Linked DNA regions of Mus musculus. The main gene of each other region encodes a partner of the protein of the gene in region 4 in a complex. Links are inferred from orthologs where the notes say so. Each region holds a gene or a part of one and is shown on either strand. Other genes may lie near its edges. The genes, in order: Chchd3, Chchd6, Micos13 and Apool.

Region 1 (3,564 bases), on a different chromosome or scaffold from region 4:
CAGTTTAATTTCATAGCTTTCCTAAATGATGATCCTGAATTCGGGAAAAACAAAGGCGTACTTAATACTGGAATCATCACATCATGACCCAATTCACTAATAAGAGAAACCAAGGCTCAAGGCCAGAGACCTAAAAGATAGGGCTTGGTTCCAAACCCAGGCCTGCCAGATTCTCCCCTCTACAGTACCATGTGTCATATGTGACCTTGTTGCAATAATCGCTTTTCTTTTATTCCATAAACAGGACACCACAGCACTAAATGTGATTCAACATGACCTCACCAGGCAGAGTGGCCGGAGCCAATGCTCCAAGACCTTCAGTGTTGCCACTTCATCGACAGCAGAAAGCACACTGGAAATAAGACACTTTGTGTCAGACACCACTCCAGAAACACGCACGGTGACACAATCACCTTTCTATCAATGACGCAGTCCAACTCCACAAGTCTTTATTATCACATTAGAAAAATCCACGAGTCAGTCTACAAGTCCCAAGGGCTCAGGTGGTTGCTGTTGAAGGCTGCAGGCTTGCTAAGAGCTCATCAGAGGATTCTGTGACAAACAACACACACTACCCTAACATCAGTAGCTTTACCTCTAGCAAGACCTTTAAAGAACCCTGGCAGATACTCAGCTATACAAGTGTGGCTGCAAGCAAGGGATGAGGCGTGTCAAGAAAACACAGGTTTTTAATCTTGATTACATTTTTTCTACTTAATGTTACTGTTATTTCCAAGATACCCAGACAATAGTACCCTCCCTTCAGATATTTATGCAGTACTGGAGATTTACACTAAGTGGTATTATTATAACAGGAGCAAACTGGGCTGTGGAAAGGCATGCTGTATAACTCAACTGCTAGATTGAGATGGGCGAGGTCAACTCTAGGGAGTTCATCAGCAGAAAGAACTGAGTTTCCAACAACTTGTGTCTCTTCAAATCCCATGTACCCAACTGTAAAGTAATTGTGTGACCTGTTGAGACTGTTAATTTGTTGTTGGGATATCATTAGCTTTCTAAAGCACATAAATTAGAGAAAATATGCATCTTATGAGTGTCATATTATGCAGTCATAAAGGGTCAAGTGAAGCATGCAGAAGGAGGAAAGCCTTTCCTAAGTATGACTCAGGTTCTTTCTCCAGCTTAAATAATAGCCTCTACTAACTGGTGGAGGAATGGTTAGTGTACTGGCTAGTTTTGTGTCAACTTGACACAGCTGGGGTTATCACAGAGAAAGGAGCTTCAGTTGAGGAAATGCCTCCATGAGATCCAGCTGTAAGACATTTTCTCAATTAGTGATCAAGGGGGAAAGGCCCCTTGTGGGTGGGACCATCTCTGGGCTGGTAGTCTTGGGTTCTATAAGAGAGCAGGCTGAGCAAGCCAGGGGAGGCAAGCCAGTAAAGAACATCCCTCCATGGCCTCTGCATCGGCTCCTGCTTTCTGACCTGCTTGAGTTCCAGTCCTGACTTCCTTGTTGATGAACAGCAGTATGGAAGTGTAAGCCGAATAAACCCTTTCCTCCCCAACTTGCTTCTTGGTCATGATGTTTGTGCAGGAATAGAAACCCTGACTAAGACAGTAACAGATGAGTAGATTTCTCTTAATCCTGTGAGACCTCCTACTACTTACGAACTCCTAGTGTGCTTGCTTCTTAGTTTATAGCCTTCATCCATAGTTTGGACAGTGCTGTTTAGGGATGTGAGGTAATGACCATGAGGATAAGACCACTGGGACCATTAGAAAGTGAAAGGTTTAGAGCAATTAAGCATATTTTTAAATATATTTCTGCTCCTGCACATAAATCCAAGGAGAGTTCAGGAGAGCTTGAACCCAGGGCCTTGAGCATGTTAGGCAAGCACCCTACCACTGAGTTGCACATCCATTCCTACTTTTACTTTGAGACACGGTCTCATGACATTGTCCAGATTGTCCTTGAACTCGCTCTGTAGCTGCCCCTGAACTTGAAGTTGCCCTGCCCAGTCTTTTCAGCAGCTGGGATCACGGGCCTAAGCCACTAGGCCTACCTAGAATCTGGACTCTTCTGACAGTGAACTGGATAGAGCTTATGGCCAAAACATGATTTAAGAGATTCTAGATGAGTTGAGAAAGTTTCCCACCCACTGGGATGACTGGGCTTTCTACTTTTCAGGTGCCCCAGTCAGCTTGCACACCCACCTGTTTGGCATGGTTGACACAGTGCATGTATTGGCTAGCCAGAGCAGAGCAGCTGAGAGTCTGCTGGGTGTTCTGACGGTAACACTGGAGGATTTTGGTCTGCAGATCTGCACAGACTGGATGATATTCATACCGCCTGGAAACAAAAAATGAGGATAATTGAGACAAGGCATCCCCATTAATGGTCAAGGTTAAAAGTTATGTAAAACATAAGCCGAGGTCCTACAAATAACACCAGTGCTCTTTTTCTACAGCCTGGTCTGGCAAGTCAGAAATCTGCCAGTCCCAACTTCTTCTGGCATACCCATGGCCAGCAGGCCATGAAGATCTGGTCCTTGCAGTCTAATCTTCCATACTCACCATTATTACAAAAATTCAAAATACTTCCTAGATCCAAGCAATGACCTCTGGTCTGTGTGTCTATAGTCCCAGCCCTCTCCCTGCATCTACAGGTCATCTAGAGAGTTCCTTGTAAATCCATCGATTCAAGTCAGACTCTCTATATTGCTATAAAGTACAAGGGTAGCAGAGATATGATCAGGCTCCTGCCTGCCTTTAGCCCTTGTTGGACCCTGAATATTGCTGCAGCCTGAGTAAATCATACTTAGGGGCCAGTTACGGATCTCACATCTGTGGTCACAAGCTAGAAAATACTTGGCACCCAAATTCCCACCCTTCCCATGTAACTGAAAATCACTACACATCTTTCAAAGCGTAGCTCATATAACCTTCTTTGAACAACTCTCCCTGGTTTTCTCCTCCTTTAAGGTGACCCTGTGCTAGCATTTTGCGCTGCCCATGTCATGGACTATGCAATAATCTAGTGCAATTCACCTGCCTACATTTATTAGAATGTAAATTCCAAGGAATTATGTCTTGTTTTGTGACCTTTACTATTCACCGTGGATAATTTTTATAGAAGTCATACAATAAGCTTCTTGAATGGGGGAAAAAAAAGGGCAAACATCTAAAAATCTTCCAGGTTAAACTTCTGCAGTTGTATTTACAACGCTCAGATTTTAGTAGAATTTCTCTCCATGAGAATGGCATGCCAAACATAAATGTTTCCACACAATTTATAATACACATTTGAAAATAATAAGTCAAATAAATTACACACAGAAAATATTCTTGTTTGTATGGCAGCAGAACTCAAGGTACAAAGACTAACCACAGAGAGAGGAAATATGCAAAACAATCATTAATATATGAATTTGTATATTTAAAAAAATTAGTTTGTTTAATAAAAAAATGCTTCCAATCTTATCAGTTCTGTCTCTGAAATTTAAATTTGGTATTTCCATATAGTCCTGAGGTAGCATTATTTTAAGTTTAATGGGTTCTAAAAACAAAAGCCTCAGAGAACATGGGGGAATATTTCCCATCAAT
Region 2 (3,564 bases), on a different chromosome or scaffold from region 4:
CCTATTCAGACACCTGCTCTGGCCCACAAGAGCAGGGTGGCTTCCTTCTCCTGGGCAGTGCAGACCACAGTGCTCTCTGGCATGGCCCTACCTCAGTCTGCCCCTCCTGTGAGAGAATGACATGGCTCCAGGTGCCTGAACAGCACTGCCTCTGCTCAAGGCCTGGCTTTCCCAGCCCAGATGCCCCTTTCCCAACTTCCCTTTCTTCTCACGCCCACTGCCCCCTTAGCTACAGAGCACCTTGCTCCTCCTTACCTGGGGCCCACTCCTCATGGCTCTGCTCTGTCCTGCAATTACCCACCAGTCTTCCTAAGAGTAAACAGAAGGTCCTTCTGGATGCTGGCACCATCCCCCCAAAACACCACTTCTCTTCTTTCCTCTCATACTTGATCCACGGTGGCTTTTGTGTGGCCATGTAGTTATGGGTTTCCATGCTATCCCCTGCCAGGCCTAGTATTCCCCCAGAGAAGCAGTCTGTCCTGTGAGGCTCTGTGTCACTGGTGACCAACAGACGGCTGGACAAAGAGTCAACAGAAGTGACTGGGTGCCAATGAGTGAATGACTGCAAACAAAGACATCTGCTTTATTTGTTTTCAATCAGTAGCACATACTGTTTCTCGAGCATGGCAGCCCCACACTCAGAGGCATATGGGTGCTCAGTTAGAGACTGCAGGGCCTGGGGGCCATGGTCTGTGGTCCTATGATCGGTCCCTTCTTCAAGGCTCCAGGAAGGATGCTGCTCCTCAGCCCTTCAAAGAGAACAGCCAGAGTTCAGCTGAGCCCTCTTCATCCCCAGAGATGGCCCAGGCCCGGGCTGTAAGAGACCTCAGCCTCATGATTTCCAGGCTCCTGCAGACTGCACTGGATAGTGGCCATTTCCCTGCAGTATAACTGGCTATGAGTCAGTTAGCTGGCCTGAGACCTAGACTGGGTCTCTCCCCACTGTTGAGCAGGACATAGGCTCTTACTTAACACGTTCTGCAGCAATAATAGCCAGCACCACCTCTTTATCCCCAGGGGCCCAGCTCCCTTCTCTGCTCTTACAGTGGTATGGCTAACCCCCACCCTGGCCTAGTGCAGCCTTGCCCACTTCTGCTCTACCTAAGTAAGGTCCTCCCTGTTCTCTAGCTTAACAAGTAGGGATTTTCCAAGAGATGCACTGGGAGAATGCAACTATGCAATCAGGTTCCTGCTCTAGGGAGCTCTGCATACCTCCAGGCAGGTTTATAGCTCTATACCTAGAGGAAAGCCCTCAGGTGTCCTGAGCTGGACAGGAATGCTTCTGCCATCTAACTGCTTTTGGAAGCACATCTTTCCTGAGGATTCTTCATTCCTATCTCACTTCTGCCAGGGACCATGTTCTGTGCAGCTGGCAGAGGGCACCAAGTTTTTCCAGTAGGACATCTTGGTCACAGGGTGCCCTGTGAGTCTGGGTGCTGAGGCCCACACTGTGCCAGACTGCATGCATGGTTTAGAGGTGGCTTGAGGGCCCAGCTGGCCTCTGATGTTTCCAGGAGCTTTAGGTGTGGGGCCAGGAAGGAGAGCCTGAAAAGTCACAAGCCTCTTTTAGGCATGTGTAGTGACAGAGACACACTGGAACTTCCTGCAGTCTGTCCAATATCATCAGTACACCTTTTCCAGGTTTTTACTCAGTGCAATGAAGGTACACTGGTGGGATACACTAAGGGGGCACAGGGACTGAAAATGGCCACCGACACAGGGTGGATGGAACAAGGCTTAAAGCTGTTTCTGTCAAGGAAGGCTAGGGGTATAACTGGATAGTCCTTTTCTCAGCCCCTCTGCTGAAAGGTGAGAAGTTTGCTACTTGTTCCAGGAAGGTGGACAGATTACATAAGCCTAGCCAGGAAGAGGAGCACAGGAGATACTACTCCCACGGACATGTTTGGGGTCCCAAAAGTGGTGAGAAATGGTTCTGAGCAAGGTTGAGGATGGGACGTCTAAATGCAGGGGCCCAGGCATACACACTAAGGCAGGTGGCCTCACCTTGCGGGCAGTGCTCACACAGTGCTGGTATGCCTTGACCAGGTCCGAGCACAGAAGCACTTCATGCAGATGGTCCCGGTAACAGCGGAGGATCTGGGCTTGTAGGCCAGAGCACACAGGCTCCACTCTGCGGGGCCTGGGGGACGATAAGAACAGATGGCTGGTATTAGAAGGCATGAGAGGCAAGAACTCACACTCAACACCCAGAAAGACACTAGATAAGCTCTGGATGTCTATCCATGTGCCAGCTCACTCCACAAGTGAGGAGTGCAGGGTCTGGTCTTCTGGCCAGTGGCCAATACTGAATGGGCTGGGGTATAGGGCTGTATGCTGACTGGCTGCTGCCATGAGTCCCCAGTGTCACCAGGAAGGGTGAGGGGCCTGGTGGCAGCTGGGTCAGGCTCTGTCCAAGGGGTTTTCAGTGCATTGTTGACCTGGTACCACAGCCATGTGAGACAGGAATGCCACTTCCTCCCAAATCCTTGTTCTAATTTTACTACTGTGACACAGAAAAACCTACAGAGATATCCAAAAAAACAAAAATACACATCTTAGAGATAGTTTGTAGTGATGTGTTGAGGCATTTTACTATATTTTCTTTCTTCTTTTATCAAAAGAGTTTCAGAATGTACAACAAATGAATATGCTGACTTTCTACTATTATGATGCAAAACAAGTGATAAAAAAGTAAACAACAGATTACACAGTTACAGGTGTCCCTCCCAGATCCCTGGGGCCACCTTTGACAGGACCACTACCAGATGCCTTTTTGTTCCACGTAAGCTCTCTTCCCCTGCCTCCCCCACTGTCACATATCCAGTGCTCCCACAACTCACACACACATAGCTACACATACTTTCACGCACCTTACGCACACTCCCACACCCCCTCACACACCCATTCTCCTATGATCCCAGAGTCCCCCCACTTGCATGCACTCACTCACACCCCTCCCACATCTACACACTCCCCGCACCCATTCTTTTACACTCAACCTTTAACACCTTTACTCAGGGTCCTCTGCACACTTACTCTCCTGCACCCCACCCCAGTAGCTCACACAGCAGCACACTGGCGAAAACATCCCCCTATTACCTCTCCCCACTCTGTGGGTGCATGGTATTTATTCTTCCCTACCTCCTTCTCCCCATGAGAAAACTGTGGTATGGAGAAGTTACACCACAGAGCCAGTGTATGGGGAGGGCATATTTATTGACATTGTGGTGGTGCCATCTACCCATCAGCTTTCCAGATGGGTTTTCGCCAAAGCTCCCCCATGTTTGTAACAGCTGTGGTGAACTTGTAGTGACACCTGACAGTTATAAAGCTGCAGTGAGCCATTCCTCACATTCTTTGGCAATAAAAAGGATGGGTATTCTGCAAGCTGTGTTCCAGGCCAGCTTGCTGTTCTCCTGCCCAGCACCTCTGAATTGAGAGTGTCAGCCATGCAGCAGACACCAGAGGGGAGAGTGCTGTTATCAAGATAATTCAACCAAGTGAAAGTCATCAGTTAAGGAGAACCAGCAGCAAAGTAATGAGGGGCTTAGGATGTAAGTCTGC
Region 3 (4,252 bases), on a different chromosome or scaffold from region 4:
CTGGGAGTCCTGAGTGGCTGTGACTAGTTTGGGCAATGGGGCTGTCAAAAAGAACTGGTCCACTGCAAGTGAAGCCCCTATTAAGGGCCCCAAGTCCAGGCTCCCCGCACCACAGTACCTACTCCATTGTACAGGCTGGAAGAATGGTTCCATGGCTAGTTCAGATCCTAGCACCCATGATGGAGAGCTCACAACAGACAGTGCCAGTGTGTATATACAAGCACACCCACACAAGCACTAAGTTAAGAAAATGCCTCCGTCAGATTGGACTGTGGGACACTTTCTTGATTGATGACTATGGGTAGGTGGTCCTGGGTGTTATTAGAAAGCAGGCTGAGCAAACCATGGAGAACAAGCCTATAAACTAATTTTCCATGGCCTCTACTTCAGTCCTGCCTCCAGATTCCTGCCCTAACTTCCCTTAGTGATGGAGAATGACCTGAGAGTAACAAGCTGAAATAAACCCTTTCCTATCCAAGCTACTTCTGGTCATGGTTTTTATCACACAAAATTTTTAAAAGTTAAAACAAAAAACTAAAACTAAAATCTTTCTGGGCTCCAAACATTACATCTGGAACATAGAGATCCCTGTTAGCCAGGACTCTGCCCATAAAGCAAAGGCTCTACATCCCCCCCCCACCAGAAAACCGGCTGGGGACCATTCCCAAGTCCTTTATTGGGCCAGCAATGCTGGAAGCTGCCCTCAGAGTGAGGTCCCCACTGGGATGTCTCTGCCATCCTGGTCTTGACCCCCATAATGCTGGGGCAGGTGGCATCCATTACTTGCTGTGTTCCTTGAGGTACTCCCAGCCCTCCTTGGAGTATTCTCGGGCCTTGGAGGGGGCCACCGACAAGGCTGACATGACTGAGATGATGCCTGCAGAGACAGCACACAGGTGCCATAAGGTCCCCACCTTGCCAGAGCCACTCAGCCAGCCAACCCCTGGGGAGTGCAAGAGCAGTACATGGAGGAGGAATGGGACTAGCCTTTCCTGATGGACAAGTTCCAGTGTGGATCTAAACCACAACCCCTTCCCTATGCTCTGTTTTAAAAGGTTTCATCTCACTAATATATTCCAAGGTTATCCTCAAACTCTCAGTCCTTCTGCCTCAGCTCTTCCCAGTGCTGAGATTATAGGTGTGTATAACAATATCCAGCTTTTCTTTGTGGAGACAAGGTCTCATATATCCCATATGGCCTGGAATTCCCTATGTAGTCAAAGATGACCCTGAAATCCTTCATTCTCTTGCCTGCACTGAGTGCTGAGATGACAGACCTACAAACACCATGCCTGATTTATGGGGTGCTGACGACAGGACCCAGAGCTTTATGCATGCTAGGAAAGATCTTTACCACTGATCTACAACCCCAACCCCTTAGGGTTTTTTTAAGTATTTTGTTTTTCCTATTTTTGAGAAAGGATGTCCCTGTGTAGTCCTGGCTATAGATCAAGCTGGCCTTGAAACTACAATTTTCCTGCCTCGGCCTCCCAAATACTAAAGTCACAATCATGGGCCACCATACCCAGTCCTTTCTACTTAGTTCCATAGGTGATATACAGGCACACAAACAGGAAAACATGGAGGAGTAGAAAGGGTCAATGAGGTAAACAGGGCTGGGAGAGAGGCTGGGGTGCCCAGGCATCCCCCCAAGCAGGGGCATAGGGGCCTACCTGAGTTCCAGGAATCACGGAAGTTTGGAAATTTAATCTTTGGAGGGGTTGGGAGCTGGGAAGAAAGAGGAACACGGGCTGACACGGGAAACAGGTCACAGCCTTGTCTCCCAAACCCAGAAACACAAAACTCCACCAAGCAGGGGTGGAGGAGGCCCCAAGGACACCCAGAAGCAACCTGTAGGCCACCCACTCCCAGCCAAGGTACCTGTGGCATCTCCAGACCTGTCTGCTGGCACACATATTGGCTGAACTGGTACATTGCTGGTGGCACAACCTCCTCGGCCTTCCGCAGGGCAGCCTCACTCTTGTCACTAGGCCCCAGCAGCTCCTGGTCATAAACAAGGTAGACTGCTCCTCCAGCCACACTTCCCTTAATGAGGAACCTTCAGGAATACATGAAGGGAGACGCTGTGGGGGGCAGGATCTCAGAGATCAGACAGTTGATCATTTTTTGTTGTTGTTGTTTTGTTTTTCGAGACAGGGTTTCTGTGTAGCCCTGGCTGTCCTGGAACTCACTCTGTAGACCTGGCTGGCCTCGAACTCAGAAATCCGACTGCCTCTGCCTCCTAAGTGCTGGGATTAAAGGCGTGTGCCACCACTCCCGGCCAGTTGATCATTTCATTTGCCTTTGTGACACGACTTTTAGCAGTAAACGGAGTCTTAAAGAGAGACAGGGTGGGTCATTCGAAACCCTGCAAAGGATAATGGACACTCAAGATCCCTGGTACAAAACCTTCCAGGGTGTCTGGCGGAGCTTCCCCGCAAGTTACTCAAGTCAGCTACGGAGGGAGATGGGCAGGATTGCCTACGCATCTGAATTGCACCTAAGAGTAAATTGAAGCAGTAGGGTGATAAGGGCTGGCTGAAGCCAGTTTCCCTACACAGACCGTGAGAAAGGTCCGTAACAACCGGAAGTGAGCCGTCGCAGGACCCTAAGCCACGAGGCAGAGATGCCTACAGCCCCGAACTTTCTCAGGGCCTCCACGATTGTCCACGCACCTCATTAGCGACCACACTCGAGCCACCATGGTTAGTCTCTCGCTTCACTCGCCGCGCAAGGACAAGTAATTCGCCCGCCGCTTCCGGTTGGTGTCGCTGCTGAGACTCCTGGGAAATGTAGTGGTCGCTGTCAGCCGCAATGGAGTTAGACTCTTGTAGGTCGAGGTCCGTGGCTGCCGCAATTCTTTCTGGGAAATGTATTAGTTAGGCGGAAGACCAAAGAAGGGCTAGGCCGCGAAGGCTCCTGGGAAATGTAGTCTGGAGGCACGACAGAGACGAGCCCTCGGAAGACACTGGTCGGATTCCCCGCGCCCGCGCGGAGAATTGAGTGTCCCCCAGGTGAAGCAAGCCTAAGTGATGGTTACCACGGCAACGCGAGGGCTGGATTGTTCCAGAGAAGCAGGCCTTTGGTTCACGTGAGCGGTTAGGGGTGTGGCTCTAACCTAGGAAGCTTGGAGAGGCTACAGATGGCCTGTGAGATGGACGCTTGCCAAGGTTGTTGACTTGCCAAGGCCAAGGCGCTGGAGGATCCCTGCCGGGTAGAAGTCTTGGGGTCATGTGAGAACGGGTTGGCGGTGGGTGGTCCGGAGTACAAGGAGCCACACTGGGGTGCGAAGTGCCGCAGGAGGGGTTAGCGGCCAAGTGGACATCATGTAGATCCCTGTTCGGTTGCAAGGTGAGCTTGAGCAGATGTGCACCATGGATGCATGGATGCCTTGTAATTGTCTATGGAGACCTATTGTCCTAATTACTTCTCAGTTGTCCTGACAAAGCACCATGGCCAAGGCAACTCAATAGAAGGAAAAGTTTTCTGCTTCCAGTTTCAGAGGACCATGACCATCGTAACGCGGAGCATGACAGCAGGCAAACCGGGATGGCGCTGGAGCAGCAGCTGAGAGCTTACATTGTGGCTCATAAGCTGAAAGAGACTACAGGGTATTGTGTGGGCTTTTGAAACCTTAAAGTCCACACCACTGTCACCCCTGCCCCAAGAAAACTTATCTCCTAATCCTTGCCAAACAGTTCTACCAAATGGGGACCAAGCATTCAAATACATGAAACTGTAGGGGTCATTCCGATTCAACCATACACAAGACCCCCCCCACACACAACTTTATTTCTTTATTACTTATTTTTGTGTTGGGTTTGGTTTGGTTTGCCTTTGGTTGGTTATTGTTTGCTTGCTTGTTTTGAGGCAAGGTTTGTCTAACAGTCCTGGCTGTCCTGGAACTCACTTTGTGGCCCAGGCTGGCCTCGAACTCACAGCTCTGCCTGCATCTGCCTCTTAAGTGTTGGTATTAAAGTGTGTTCCACCATCACCCAGCTTTGTGGGTTTTTTTCTTTTTTAGACGGGGTCTTATTCTTTGTACGTGATTGGTCTGGAACTCATATGGACCAAAGCTGAATTCTCCTGCCTGGGCCTCCTCATTCCTGCTTTTACAGACATGTCCAGTGTCTATGGTGACATTTTCTCCTTTTCACCCAGAACTAAAATAAACCAACCCTCATGACTAAGAATGGGTGAGAGGAGCCTAGAACATGGCAAGGTAGCATGTGGCATTGCCAGTAGCGCTTAG
Region 4 (4,118 bases):
CTGGATGGACAGCTCTCATGATTGCTGTTGGTGCTCCTGGGCACAACTGATAGTTTGCAGGAGCTGCTGTAGAAGCAACTCAGAGCCAGGACTTGGCATTAAAACTGCAAAATATTTAATCTTCAAACAGCTGGTGAAAGTACAATGGATACCAGGATATACAGAAGACAGCAGCTTAAGGTAATAAGCCTTTCGGAGGTCAATAAGCAAATTCTAAGATGCTGGGTTGGGGTGGTTTGAGAACTGACCTGGGATCAAAACCAGAAGTGACAACACTTCATCAAGGGTGGCCCAGAATCGGGAATCTGGAATAAACTTTAGCCCTAAAGTCAGTTTCCTTAGGAAATCTAAACAATTATTTGGAGAAATCGCCTAGACCATGCATCTCACCTTGCTAATAGCACTTGAGCAGCCACTGTCTCGAGTTGTATCCTCCGCCATGAGCACAATTGGAAATATATGCCAACCAGACGTACAGGGGGCTACCCCTTTCAGTTTTCCAATGATGATAGATAGGCAGTAGCCGTGTACACTATGGCTCTAATCAGAAAAAAGAGAGAGCCTACAACAGATAATTTGTCAAGCAGATAGACACCAGGCACCTTCAGATTCTCCTTTAACACATGCCATGGTCAGATAGAGTCTCTGACAGAAACAGTTCTCCAAACCAGGAGAGGTTGTGTGACAGTAAGGGAGACTTGTTGCTTCTGTACTAACAAATCAAACATTATCATTTAAGAAAAAAAAAACTTTACAAAAATTATTTTAAATCAAAAACATGAATGAAATAATTTCTGGTACCAGAAAACTATTAAAACCCATGGCTCACAATACTTTTCATTGTTTTGCCTGGTCCCTTACTCCCCCTTATTATGAGACTTGCTATAGAGCCTTATATAATAAATGGTCTTTTAAAGTTCATCAGATAGAAAATTTCCTCAGTTAGGCTAATGATACTCAGGAACTAGTATTTATCACTTGGTCAAGATCAAAAATTTAACAATAACTTTAAAATAAAAATTGGGAAATGAAATGACTAAGGTGACACCATCCTCTTCTGACTCCATTTTATGTTCGATTAAATAATTCTCAGCCCTTTATCTGATTCCCCCAGTGGTCACATATGCCTTGGCAACACATGTGAGACTTCCACAGCTTTGACCATTGGCCAGATGTATTAGCCAAAATAATTGGCAAGTTATATCTAAAGTAACTACTATGTTCTACCAGGGATAAATGTTTCATGGCTACTCTGACCTTCATCTAACTTTGATGCATCTTTCTGGGTTTTGATTTCAAAACTGTGTATTTCTGAACTTGGGGACCAAGAAACTTTTCAGAACCACAGCCCTGCTCGTGATTTGGCCACCAAGAAAGGACTTAAAAGTTTTAATTAATTAATCAAAAACTTTCTCATGTGGATCAGTACAGTTGTCAAGGACACACACTTAGAAGAGCCATTCTGTGTTTACCAAAAGAAGCAAGCATCTCCTACCAATGGCCTACACACCACACCCTACCCAATACAAAATTGTAAACTATTTAAACATTGTAAAAATATTATTTGGGGCTTTTTTTTTTTTTTTTTTTTTGGTAACTTGATTGTGATTCTCCAGGATAAACTTTGTAGAGGTCAGGTGGGGTTGCATTATCAAAAGGTTGGTCAGACGTGCATGCTAGAAATTAAATAAGAATGGGCAAGGGCACTTTAGGAATTGCAGAAAGAGCAGGTAAATGGGGCATGAAGAGATAAAGTAGGAAGTTAAGTACACAGGAGAGGGTTCTTGGGTGACAGGAGAGGAAGCTGGAGTGCAGAGGCTAGGTGAAGTGTTGTTATCTAGAAGGGTAACCTGACCCCTGAGAGCTGATAATGGAGTGCCTATAAAGGCTTTAAAGTAGCAGGGCAGAGTCTCATTTTGATATAAGTACTATGGCAGCACAGGAGAAAATGGATTCCATCAGAGCAATGGAGTGGGTAGAGTCCAGTTAAGAGAATGGTCCGTAGTTTGAAAGAAAGTATGAGGTCCCAAACTAGAGAAATGCAGTGAAGAATGGGAAATATTAAAAGTCAATGTCCTCTGATTGAATTAATAACAATCTTATAGCCTTCAAGCCTAACAGAGTCATTACATACCTTTAAAAAAAAATACATGCGTTAAGTATTTGTAAACTGATGTTGAAACCCGAGTCGGCTGACTTGTTTCCTTTACCCCCGATTTCTACACAAAAGCACCTTTTCTCATAAAACTCCAAAGAAACTGGTTATTCGACGGGGAATAACACTATGTATAATCCCACTCACAACACAGATTCTGAGAAATCTCTACTTTTGTCTGTTTTGCCCACAGCTAATTTTTGAAGGAAGTCTTATGTCCCGGTCTGGGAGCCCCGCCCTGCACACCAAGACAGCGCCAAACTTTTGTTTTGTTTTGTTTCCTTTTGTTTTGTTTTCCTTCTCCAGAGAGGCGAGTGGCCAGGCCTTCCTCATCACTCACTCAGCGGGTTGCGGGACTAAAGCCCCGCGGTGTAAACAGTTACCCGCAGGGATTAAGGAGAAGGCGAGGGAGGTTTGTTGAGACTGCAAAGATTAAAGACTCCGATCCTCATAGTCTCATCTCCAGGTCGCCACTTGCTGAGGGGCTCCCTCCATGAGTTACGATAGACGGTCCCTTCTATAATTATTGTAATGCTTGGGCTCAGAGCGAGCGGGGAGTGGAAAACTAAGTTTCTTTTCACTTACCCTAAAGGCCGCCATACCTATGACCCTCTCGGCTCAAGTTTTCAGACGGAGAGCGCAGAGGGACAAAGCAGTTCACTTTGCCTTGCGTCACCATAGCCCCGCCCCTTTACGCTAGGAGCCCGCTGGCCCTGCCCTTTCCCCGCCCTCCTGCCATTGCTTTTGTAGGCGCCAAAGTCAATTGGTTAGCACTTCTTCAGAGCAAAGGGCCTATCTTTGCGGTTGACATTCCAGTCCTCATACATCTAACCTCTAAGAATAGTCTCCACACTCCAATTAGAAATTGTTTTCTTGGGTGAATGACTGGGTGTTTACGGGATTTGTCTAGATAAGAACTTAAAACTCAACTGCCTTAATAAACAACCATATAGTCTGTCACAAGAGCAGGTCACCACTGCAATCCTTGAGGCAATTCAATTACATTCATTCTAGAACTGTCACTAAACACCAATTCTGTCAGGAAGTTGCTCACAGTACACTACAAAACCTACATACAGCACCAAGAGAAAATGACAAAAAAATTTTAGAAAGGCCTCAACACTATTCAAGAAAACAGAACCTTGACAAGACGGTTCAGCTTGTAAGAAGTACTTACTGGCTGACAAGCCGGATGGCCTAAATTTCACACACACACACACACACACACACACACACACACACACACAGAGAGAGAGAGAGAGAGAGAGAGAGAGAGAGAGAGAGTAAATAAAATGTATTAAAAGTGTAAAAGTAGAAGCTATCTGTTGAGAAGGAATGGAGTTTTCTAGTTCATACAGATAGAAGGCGCTGATAGGGTGATTTGAAGAAAGTCATGAGGAATATAGGCAAGTGGTCTATGCAAAAGTAATATCAGGAACAGAGAGTGGTAGGTCCCAACAATGAAAAAACAAACATACCACAACAGGGGCTCTCTGTGTCACTATAACTAGTGTGGATTGTTTGCTTTTGTTTTGTTTTATCCTTTTTTTTTTTAGTTGCCTGTTTGTATTCCAAAGATGAAGGCATGGAGTCGGGGTCAGAGGTGGCAGAATCTGGGAGGACATGAGGGAGGGAAAACTGTGATCAGAATATATTATATGGAAATTCCTAATTAAAAAAGAATAAAAAGAAATGTAATTGGAAGGCTTTTAGCATTGGTGTGACTTGATCTAAAATACATTATAAAATGATGATTATGATGTTCCCAGGAGACTAGATTGTGAGGAGGTATATTATTCTCTGTAAGGGTACAGGCTCCCTGAGGCCTCTGTGAATAATTCGGAGACAAAGAGTGTCCATTTATGTTCCCATTAACTTCACAGTATTAGGTAACTGCATTCACTTATTCATTTAATAAATATTTAAGTGTAAACTATATACTAAGCATTAGTGGTATACTAAA

What was found.
Region 1: Apool (region 4) and Chchd3 share a complex: the UniProt entries of both Homo sapiens proteins name them as parts of the mitochondrial contact site and cristae organizing system (MICOS) complex. The link is inferred for Mus musculus from reciprocal best matches to the Homo sapiens genes APOOL and CHCHD3.
Region 2: Apool (region 4) and Chchd6 share a complex: the UniProt entries of both Homo sapiens proteins name them as parts of the mitochondrial contact site and cristae organizing system (MICOS) complex. The link is inferred for Mus musculus from reciprocal best matches to the Homo sapiens genes APOOL and CHCHD6.
Region 3: Apool (region 4) and Micos13 share a complex: the UniProt entries of both Homo sapiens proteins name them as parts of the mitochondrial contact site and cristae organizing system (MICOS) complex. The link is inferred for Mus musculus from reciprocal best matches to the Homo sapiens genes APOOL and MICOS13.

Annotation. Positions count from the first base shown.
Region 1 is NC_000072.6:32,801,715-32,805,278, forward strand, and holds part of Chchd3 (MICOS complex subunit Mic19), read right to left. Parts: intron 2,312-3,564; coding exon 2,176-2,311; intron 1-2,175. UniProt on the Homo sapiens protein: Component of the MICOS complex, a large protein complex of the mitochondrial inner membrane that plays crucial roles in the maintenance of crista junctions, inner membrane architecture, and formation of contact sites to the outer membrane.
Region 2 is NC_000072.6:89,382,600-89,386,163, forward strand, and holds the end of Chchd6 (MICOS complex subunit Mic25), read right to left. Parts: intron 2,141-3,564; coding exon 2,005-2,140; intron 750-2,004; coding exon 744-749; 3' UTR 547-743; downstream 1-546. UniProt on the Homo sapiens protein: Component of the MICOS complex, a large protein complex of the mitochondrial inner membrane that plays crucial roles in the maintenance of crista junctions, inner membrane architecture, and formation of contact sites to the outer membrane.
Region 3 is NC_000083.6:56,606,965-56,611,216, forward strand, and holds Micos13 (MICOS complex subunit MIC13 precursor), read right to left. Parts: upstream 2,808-4,252; 5' UTR 2,705-2,807; coding exon 2,676-2,704; intron 2,060-2,675; coding exon 1,882-2,059; intron 1,729-1,881; coding exon 1,674-1,728; intron 878-1,673; coding exon 780-877; 3' UTR 488-779; downstream 1-487. UniProt on the Homo sapiens protein: Component of the MICOS complex, a large protein complex of the mitochondrial inner membrane that plays crucial roles in the maintenance of crista junctions, inner membrane architecture, and formation of contact sites to the outer membrane.
Region 4 is NC_000086.7:112,310,059-112,314,176, reverse strand, and holds the start of Apool (MICOS complex subunit Mic27 isoform 1 precursor), read right to left. Parts: upstream 2,826-4,118; 5' UTR 2,756-2,825; coding exon 2,741-2,755; intron 1-2,740. UniProt on the Homo sapiens protein: Component of the MICOS complex, a large protein complex of the mitochondrial inner membrane that plays crucial roles in the maintenance of crista junctions, inner membrane architecture, and formation of contact sites to the outer membrane.